Linked DNA regions of Daphnia pulex. The main gene of each other region encodes a partner of the protein of the gene in region 2 in a complex. Links are inferred from orthologs where the notes say so. Each region holds a gene or a part of one and is shown on either strand. Other genes may lie near its edges.

Evidence for each region.
Region 1: DNA-directed RNA polymerase III subunit RPC5-like (region 2) and DNA-directed RNA polymerase III subunit RPC9-like share a complex: the UniProt entries of both Homo sapiens proteins name them as parts of the RNA polymerase III complex. The link is inferred for Daphnia pulex from reciprocal best matches to the Homo sapiens genes POLR3E and CRCP.
Region 3: DNA-directed RNA polymerase III subunit RPC5-like (region 2) and DNA-directed RNA polymerase III subunit RPC10-like share a complex: the UniProt entries of both Homo sapiens proteins name them as parts of the RNA polymerase III complex. The link is inferred for Daphnia pulex from reciprocal best matches to the Homo sapiens genes POLR3E and POLR3K.

What each region holds. Positions count from the first base shown.
Region 1 is NC_060023.1:11,613,761-11,616,395, forward strand, and holds DNA-directed RNA polymerase III subunit RPC9-like, read left to right. Parts: upstream 1-1,357; coding exon 1,358-1,365; intron 1,366-1,430; coding exon 1,431-1,467; intron 1,468-1,537; coding exon 1,538-1,621; intron 1,622-1,688; coding exon 1,689-1,841; intron 1,842-1,905; coding exon 1,906-1,992; downstream 1,993-2,635. UniProt on the Homo sapiens protein: DNA-dependent RNA polymerase catalyzes the transcription of DNA into RNA using the four ribonucleoside triphosphates as substrates.
Region 2 is NC_060017.1:5,953,653-5,958,042, reverse strand, and holds DNA-directed RNA polymerase III subunit RPC5-like, read left to right. Parts: upstream 1-1,574; 5' UTR 1,575-1,731; coding exon 1,732-1,773; intron 1,774-1,837; coding exon 1,838-1,939; intron 1,940-1,995; coding exon 1,996-2,150; intron 2,151-2,215; coding exon 2,216-2,403; intron 2,404-2,466; coding exon 2,467-2,639; intron 2,640-2,703; coding exon 2,704-2,908; intron 2,909-2,963; coding exon 2,964-3,190; intron 3,191-3,269; coding exon 3,270-3,430; intron 3,431-3,491; coding exon 3,492-3,672; 3' UTR 3,673-3,819; downstream 3,820-4,390. Other genes in the region: histone H2B-like, read right to left, coding at 436-672, 749-811, 870-959. UniProt on the Homo sapiens protein: DNA-dependent RNA polymerase catalyzes the transcription of DNA into RNA using the four ribonucleoside triphosphates as substrates.
Region 3 is NC_060019.1:12,453,203-12,455,548, reverse strand, and holds DNA-directed RNA polymerase III subunit RPC10-like, read right to left. Parts: upstream 892-2,346; coding exon 565-891; downstream 1-564. Other genes in the region: yrdC domain-containing protein, mitochondrial-like, read right to left, coding at 1-488; feline leukemia virus subgroup C receptor-related protein 2-like, read right to left, coding at 2,092-2,346. UniProt on the Homo sapiens protein: Core component of RNA polymerase III (Pol III) which synthesizes small non-coding RNAs using the four ribonucleoside triphosphates as substrates. Can mediate Pol I proofreading of the nascent RNA transcript.

The DNA.
Region 1 (2,635 bases), on a different chromosome or scaffold from region 2:
ATTTGTAGACATGTAAATCGCGGGTTTTTTTGTTAATAAGGAGGATAGGGAAGTAGTTAAACATAAAAGAAAAAACATTTCATGATAAACAGGCGCAAAAAAGAACGATTTCTAACGACTAGAAACTGATAATACAGGTTTCCCAACACAGATAATTTTTCCAGTTTTGACACAATAGTGGGAAATGGTTTTCTCTCCTCCGACACTTAATTGGAATTCTGGTAACGCACATTTTCTGCAATCGGGAACAGTTGTGTGCTTGTATCTGTTGACGTGTTTCAAATACTTAAAGATACCATTGGCTGAAAAATCAAAACTAGCTTCACAGCTCTGAAGGTCACATCCTATAACAGTGTAATCAGGAATCAAACCTGATGAATTTAATTTGGTAAAAAGGAACTGACTGTGAAAGTGAAGATCTGAATGATTGTGACAAACATCAGATTTGTTACAAGAGTGAATTCTCACTGCACATTTAGATGTAAAGAATACAACAATGGATTTCTTGCACTTTAAACACATTTCTTCACTGTGGGTTGGGTTTTTAATGGAATGCTGAGCCAAGTCTTCCAATGCAGTAAATAACTGTGGGCAGTCATAGCATCTATAGGGAAAATCTTTGACTGTATTGACTTGATTACTCAACCTATGATGAACAGCATCTGCTTCAACAATACTAGGTTGGTTATCCATTGCTCTATACAATTTTTTTTTACTTTGTTAGAATATAATTTACATCAACAGAAAATTTAGGATTATGCCTTGCCTGTATTCTTCACCTGTAGTTGTAATAGGTCTATGATTCTTGCTGATAAGCGATAAGATAACATATATATCTTTTATGGCTTACTATGGTGAATCAACCTTACGAAATAAACATGCCCACGAGGTAGATTAAGCAAAGAAAACCTTCAAATACTAAAGAGAGTAAATAGGGCACCTTTACCTTGCGATATTGCGGTGCGGTCGGCTTTTTTCTTTGAATAATCAAGGTAGCAATTGAAAGCAACGACATGATTTCAACATTGCAAACCTCATCCAAAGAGAATGTTTACCAATATTTAGCAGACAGCAATTACAGCGTTGCTTCCTCTTCGTGCCTTTAAAAACCACAAGATAATTTTGATCAAACGAAAATTACATAATACTTGCTGGATTATTTTCAAAATTTCTTTAAATAGATAGAATTGATAAAACTGAATTGAAATCGAAATAATTTTACCGCGGTTTCCAAATGACATCGTTGCCTACAACTGCAGCGTGAAGAAAAGTTCTCTAAAAAAACGTGCATTTTTTTCAAAACAATCTGCTCGTGTTTGGAATCTTCAAGCATTTCTGGCTACTGATCGTAATTGAAATGGAAATGTAAGCTAATTGTATAAATTTGTCCATGAACTTCCACTCAACCCCATTTTTTGTTTGTGTTACAGAATCGATGCAAACACGGCTATACTTAGCAATTTTGAGGTAGGTAAAACCTGTTTACTGGAGAATGTGTGGCTTTGAATAATTTATTTGTAATCTAACATTCTTCAAGGTTCTGGGACTTTTGAACAGTTCAAGAGTCAAAGGAGACCAAACCAGGAATCAAAGTGGGTCCTTAGCCACCATCACGTATGAAGTAAGGATTTTTTCAAATGATTTCAATGTGTATCTGCTTCGATTCACCAGTTTCTTTTTGCCTATAGGCCATAAAATATCTTGAAGGCACGCCAGCTGCAGTACAGTCTGAGGGTTGCTTCAAGAAATTTCTCGAGGATGTGAAAAAGTTTGGACTGACTAAAAAAGAGAAAACCATGATCTTGAATCTGAGGCCTAAAACTGACGTTGAAATATCACTGGTATAAAAGCTATGCATGCCACTAGAATTGTCCATGTCTTAATCAGTGATTCAAACCTTTTTAGATTGTCCAATCTACAGATCAGGAACGGTTGACTGAAGAACAAATTGAGGAGCTCATAGAACTCATTCAAAATACTTTGCCAGAATAAATTTGTTTTAACCCCGATTCTCATTTTCACGTTCGTTAAAAACTCAACTCTGAATGTAAACAAATTACTAAATCCGAGAAAGCATGAGATGACAGCGAAATGTTTCAATTGCCTAACCATTACACCATGTGCCCAACGAAACCACCGTTATCCATCAAGGTTTCTCGACAGCCGTTATTTTATCTTTATTTGTTTTTAGTCGATCAACATTCCTTCCAACATCCTAACCATTAACAGCAGGATAACGACGGAAACATTCGAAACACTTGACAGAAGATTCATTCCGGGGTGAACCAAACTTGATTCTAGGTTAGACATCACTTGAATAAATAAGATTGTCATTTTGGTTGCACATTTCTGTTCATTTATTGTAATGACGGGATCAAAATAAGATGGACAGAATCAATATGGAGAACATATTTTGTGTGTATATCGCCCGAGTGCTAACTCCTTGGAGGAAGAGTAAATGGTAAAGGGGGTCGGAGAGAAAAAAACAAAAAGACGTGGGAGATATTTCAGGACTTTTTTTTTTCTTAAATACACAACAGACACATGACAAATGGTGGGGTTTGGGGGGTTCGAAGAAAGAAAATTCGAACTCGGCTATTTTTCAGGACCAGGAGGGAAGTTTAACTACATCGTC
Region 2 (4,390 bases):
TAATTGCCATACATGAAAACATTCGTTTAGTCGTGATTATTTTTAATTCTATACTTCAAACTTCGAAAGAGATGTATAATTTGCGCGGATTGGCGCCATTTTCAAACATTGAAATTTGAACATTTCTATTTGTCCATCCAAACGATATTCATTCAAGTAATCATTGGAAACAAATTTAAATTGTGAAATTAAGTAATGTATTATTGCCAACTCAAAATTTATGTACGTAGCGCGAATGATCACATAGTAATAATAAATCACAAGTCACACATTGTTTGAATCAGCAAAGATGAATAGTGATTTCCCCACCTCAAAAGTTTTACAACACTACGACAAATGAATACAGCTATGATCGATGTAGATAATTATAGAAGATATAAAAAAATAGTCTAATAAAAAAAATTGAATTGTGGTCGACCCACTCGGAAGTCATTTTCACTTTGAACTGGTGTACTTGGTGACAGCCTTGGTGCCTTCCGAAACAGCGTGCTTGGCCAACTCGCCAGGTAGGAGGAGACGTACAGCTGTTTGGATTTCACGACTGGTAATGGTCGAACGCTTGTTGTAATGGGCTAGCCGCGAAGATTCTCCGGCAATCCGCTCGAAAATGTCGTTCACGAAGCTGTTCATAATAGTCATGGCCTTGGACGAAATTCCAGTGTCGGGATGTACCTGCAGAAAAGTTTCATCGATTGTAATTACACGATTATACACTATAAAATATCACGAAGAGAAACAAAACATTTACCTGCTTCAAGACTTTGTAGATGTAAATGGCGTAACTCTCCTTCCTCTTCTTGGTACGTTTGGTCTAAAGAAAACAAGATGTGAATCAAACTCGTTCAAAGTTTATAACACGAAATTCTTACCTTTTCACCAGACTTGTTGAGACCACCCTTTTGAGTCTTTCCTGCCTTTTTCGCTGCTTTTCCACTTGTTTTTGTAGGTGACATGGCCATTTTGATGATATTCTTAACTGGAACTCGACTGTGAGCTGATAGAATCTGGGAAATTCTGCTACAGAAAACCTAGACGACGTTGGTTTTTATACTCTTTCCCCCCATTTTTCGGACAAAGAAAACTCCCTATTTGCAGTCATAACTCCGGGGTACAAACCCATCCTCCTTCCACTTTTTTGTTTTCAGACGTTTTCTTACTCTTCCTCTAACCTCAAGTTAATGGATTTGTTTAATTCATTTAAAAGGGGATAATCTTTTTTCTCAGAAAGAGAAATAAACTATGAGCAAACTCTGTCTAGCCACGAGGTATTTTTTCGTTAGCCTTCCACGAATTCATATGCATTTTTTAAAGATTTTTTAAAGAAACTATTTTTTGTTAGGGCATATTCCGATTATTAAGTTTAATTGAAAAAAAATCATTTTAAACCTATTCAAAGCAAGGTCAAATGAGCTCCAATGAAATTGTTGTTTGCCATACTGAAAATAAGTTAGCCAGCCAAATAGGTTTTTAAAAATAAATATATGTTTATAAAATCTGAAGAAATGCATACAGCATTTATTAAATTTCGTGTCTATTAAATAATTTCGATGATTTATCAAATAGGATTTAATATGACCCATTTCCAGCAGACGACTGCCTCCCCATTTCACGATTTGAAGAATAATATTGTGCAGTGCTGTCTGCAGAGAATTTGCTTTCCCACGTTGTGGGAGTGATATCTATGATTTGTGATATCTAATTTATAATTTGGCGTCTAGAATCTGAAAAAAAATGTCAAAGTTAGAAGAGGAGAATGATGAAGTTGTCAGAGAGGTGGGAATTGGGTGTTGTTGCTGTATTCGGCGTGAATGTTCTCACATGTTTATGATTTTTACAGATCCCAGTCTTTTTGTCAAAGAATTTGCTTCAGAAACTCTATGTTTTCCAATATCCACTTCGTTCTGTTGCAGTTGAAATGGAAAGACCTCATGTTGCTGCTGTAAGTATTATATCTTGCATGCAACTCGATTTCAATATTAATGTGAAACATTTCAGTCAAGGATTAAGCCTAAACTTCAGGAAGTTGAATTAGAGCTTGAATTACCAACACATACACAAAATTATGATAGGAGCAAAGCTGAGCAAATTGTTATTAATACAGATGGACAAAATAAATATGATAAACCTGATCATCAGAACTTTTTCAGCGGGTAGGATTGGTTCGTAATATATTTACTTCAACAATATAATAAGTGTTTTCTTTCTTTCATGAAAGTTCATTTATGGATAAAATCACCTATTCTTCCACAAAAGCACTTTTGGATCCAGGAAGGTTTGCAGTTGGCATTGTAGTTGATAATGAACTTCATCTCAATCCATTGCATGGAATTCTACATGTAAAACCCAACTTTCCATACTTGGACAAATCTGAAAAAAATCTAAAAGATACTGATGAACCAACAGGTTAATTTCTTAATGCCAGAAGCATTGTTTCAAATTTATTAAAGTTCTTTGTGAATTTTATAGAGTCAGGTGATGAGGAAGAAGTTGCTGAACAAATCACTGTGAAATTTGCTCGAACTGAAACAGACAGAAGCAAAGCCCTCAGAGAAAAGTCTTTTGGGTTCCTCCAAAAAAAGAATGCAGAAGAACCCTGGTACAATACCAAATTCTATTCATTAAATTCTGAGGAATCCATGGTATTTATATCACAGTATTAAAGGTTATATAATCAATAGAATTATTGTTTGATCATTTGTATAGTTGGAAAAAAACCGTCTCATCTGTGGAAAATCGGATACAGTTCAAAATCTAACCATGGCAAAAGATAAATACATCAGCGATTTGATTGGCCCTAGCCTAGAGATTGATGAATTTCAGAAACAACTTACGTTAGGAAACGCGTCAATGTTTCAAATTCTTAAACTGCCTCAACTTGTAGATAGAATTAAAAATCTCATGGCTAATGGTAACTTAAATGTTGAAATAGTATTACCACATCGATAACCAATTTCTATCTATAGTTAAGCTGATCTCGTTCAGTAAGTTGTGCAGTACCCTAGAAATCAAACAGGAATCTGTTAAAATGGAATCGCTGAAATCGCTGCAACAGGTGGCTGAGTTGGTCCAAGGTAACTGGGTTGTCAAGAGCGAAATCCTTTATCCGAGCGGAGAGAAAGACAAAACGGTTAAATTGTGTGGAATTTCCGGAATTCATCCTGATATCATCAGCAAAGCCAGGGATTATGTGGTAAATAGCCTCCTGATGATTTGTTTTTTTCCTGGCGACTGTCATAAAGTTCTAACATTTATGTTTTGATTTGATATAGTTGTACATGTTTACTCTAAACCGTTGTGTGAACCGAGAAGCAGTCACTATTGCGACTAAAATTCCTACTGATGAAATGAAAGTTATTCTGGAGCAAATTTCCTTCAAGACCAAGGACGGATGGGAATTCAAATTGCCTTTTGATCAAGCCTTTGTTGACAAGTGCGTTTCAATTCCTTTCCAATGATTTTTGTGTTTTAATGACATTTTATTGCGAAAACAGGTATCCGGAAGTGGTTAGGCGCAGCGAATTGATGAATAAAGCTAAGCAGAAGCAACTTTACAACGTCGCCGAATTTAAAGCTCCGAAGAAGGAACCCACCGATACAATAAAGAAAAGAACAAGGCGACGCTCTCGACAAGATTCGTGCAGCTCAGACAGTGGAAATGACGTTAAGAAGTAATCGCAGTTGAACATGAAAAAGCGGATATTAAAAATCTTCTAGTACACTTTTTCTACCCTGCAACAGTCTCGCTGTTCATTTCATTGTTTTGACCTTGATTGTTCAGTTCGTGCTCTTGTCGAAAAATGAAATGGTTGACTGGCGAAAGTAACTGTATCTCTTTTCTACTTTTGATTTGTACGTAGAAATCTCAAACCGTACCAACAAAAATAACTGCAAGCCTCATCCACATTTTCACAAGCCCTCTGGAATATAAAATTTCGAAAGGATTTTTTATTAATATGAAAATATGTACACTTTTTAATCCTGGAACCTGGATCTACTGATCTACTCTAAGCTTTTTCATGCGACTGTTTTTTTTTTTCTTGTAAAATTGTTTGTGTTAATAATAAAATACGGAAACGATACATCCTCATATAAGTTTTTCTGGTTGTTTTTGCCACGAACTCAGTTTTGTGTTATCAATGATAGGTTAGGCAACCGTCTGCTAGAACTGATTTTAAGATTAGATCGTAGATTATAAACATCCTGGTTGCGTAAACCGATACAGCAAAAGAAAGGGGAGGAGCTTATTACAATCGTCTGAAGAGTTTGTTTACTGCTTTAAAATCAAGTTTTACACGTCAGTCATTTTTACACGTCAAACAGTCAAAGAATGTTGCAGCAAATATTTTAGATACTATATAAAAAACTATATGTGAGTGCTGAGAATTCAATT
Region 3 (2,346 bases), on a different chromosome or scaffold from region 2:
TGCTCCCAAATCCCTAGAAATTCTTCCACCGATAGAGTACTCTGAGATCCGCTGATGTTGGCGCTAGTCAACGCTAAAGGTTCAGCACAGCTATTTGCCAGTTGACGAATGAACCAAGAGTCCGGAATTCGAATGCCAACAAGTTTAGTTCCGGGGTTGAGTTCAGGATTCAAGGCAGGACTTCTTTCGAACACAAGGGTGACGGGTCCAGGTAAAAGGTCGTGCAGTAGACGTTCATCTACTGTAACGTGTCCCCACTTGGCGATTTCGCTAACTTGCGACACGCAAATAGCAACCGGTTTATTCTTGTCTCGCGATTTGATTTGATAAAGTTTTTTCAAAGCTTCTGAACTTTGGGACAGACAAGCGATCCCATATAAAGTGTCTGTTGGAAGAGCAATCACACTGCCCGATTTCAGAAGCTCCACTGCATTTTTTAGGATGGCTGCGGAGTTCTTGGGCCCAAGGAGGATGACTGGGTTGATCATTTGACAATTTTAAAGGCGATAATGAGTTGAGTTTAACATGAAAAAAAGAAAGTGGGGGTTTGAAGGCAGGTTGTGTCTAATCACGCCACAGGTTGGAGCACTCGTGGTTGCAGCACTTGTAAAAGGTGGTCATAGGCTCATCTGCAGATCGTGTCTGCATCTGCAAAAAGTAAGCTCTTGAATGGTCACACTTGGGACAAGTTGCTTCAGTGGAATCCACATTCTCCCAGGCAGCAACTCCTCCTAATACATCATCCACTTCCTTAAGTTTGGGGAATGATTTGCTGCTAACTTTTCGATTAATGTTGAATACGTAAGGGCAAGTACGGCAAGAGAATCGGAAACACTTGGGTCCTTCTTCAACACCCAAAAGATTTCCACACGTGGGACAGAACATCAACATTTTGATAACTTCGTAAGATCAATGTCTTCTCATTCAAAAACTTCGTACCATAATACAGAGTTTAAAATGCCACCATTTATATCTGCAAGGGAAATCAAGCATCATGTAACTTGAGAATGTTAGATAATAATCATAGTGATGGAATTTTACCTCTAACAATCGCAAATTACCCGTTGAAAAATGTTGCTTCGATTAATGTCGTCCCCTTTTTCCAACATACTTCCGCCCATGCTTTTTCGTCAGCTGTTTAGAAAAAAGCGTTGCCAAGTCGTGGTAACGTAGACCAAGTTCGAAGCGCCAAATCGAATTGCGAATTGCCGATAAATAAACAAATTATTTATTGTTGTCAAGATTTATAATTTATAATTTATAACCTCGTACTCATAGTAAGAGGTAATTTATTTCATGAACTTTGTTCTTTGTTCATATCAGTGATAAAATTCACTCCCCAAACCCCTTTTGGGAAATAAGCTAAGTATTTTTTTTTAAATAATAAAATTTGATGTTGTGGCAAGCCCACAATAGCAAAGTGATAGTAGTTGATGGGGATCCCACCTTTTTTTTCGGGGGAGGGGTTTCACACCCTTCTTTTTTATTGGTGAAAAAAAAAACGTGAACGTGGTGGCATTAGATTTTATTTGGCGCAATAATTGTTAACTGTCACATCATCCAAACCAAATGATTTGGTCAGTTTAAAATGGGTCGTGGTGAAAAGTGAAAACAACTTTAACGTCAAAGGCTCATAAAGAATCGAATGCATAATACTCTGTAATGAAGCTAACTTGGGTTTGAACTTTGCTTTCCATTCCCTGCATTGTACGGAAGACAGCAATTTTACTACATTAGTAATAACACAGAAATGTAAACTCTTTTAGACCGGAACCGAAAGAGAGAGGCTATAAGCTATATATATAAGTATACATACAGTCTATAACTATCAATCACTTTACTTTTTTTTCCCCCATTGAAATCGTCGTAACGGATTCACGGTATAGCCGCAAACTTTGTGCAGCAGCCAATCACATTGAAGGAAGCAACATTTTGAAATGGCAGATAATACAGTGACACAAAGTTTACCTAACTACATATCTATAACAATAAGCAAATCAACTTGTTCGAAATTGCGTGAGGCAAATGTGGCATCTCTTGGAGACAGGCAAAGCTCTTACTGGTGAAGCTCAGAGAGTCGATTGATGACACTTAGATAGCTTCGTTTGCTCGAAACGCTTCCATCTGGTTGGCTCTTTGGCGTCTGAGATCCGAACGGATGAACAGCGATAGAGCAGCGCCGAAAAATAGTGCTGCCGACAAACTTCCGTTACAGACCAAATCGCCGTAGTTGCTCAAGAGCCAACCCCCGATGATTGTGAAGACGATACCAAATACTTGGGCGGAGGCATTCAGTAAACCAGACGACGTCACTTCTGGCTCAGGGTACGTCAATTCAGCTGCAAA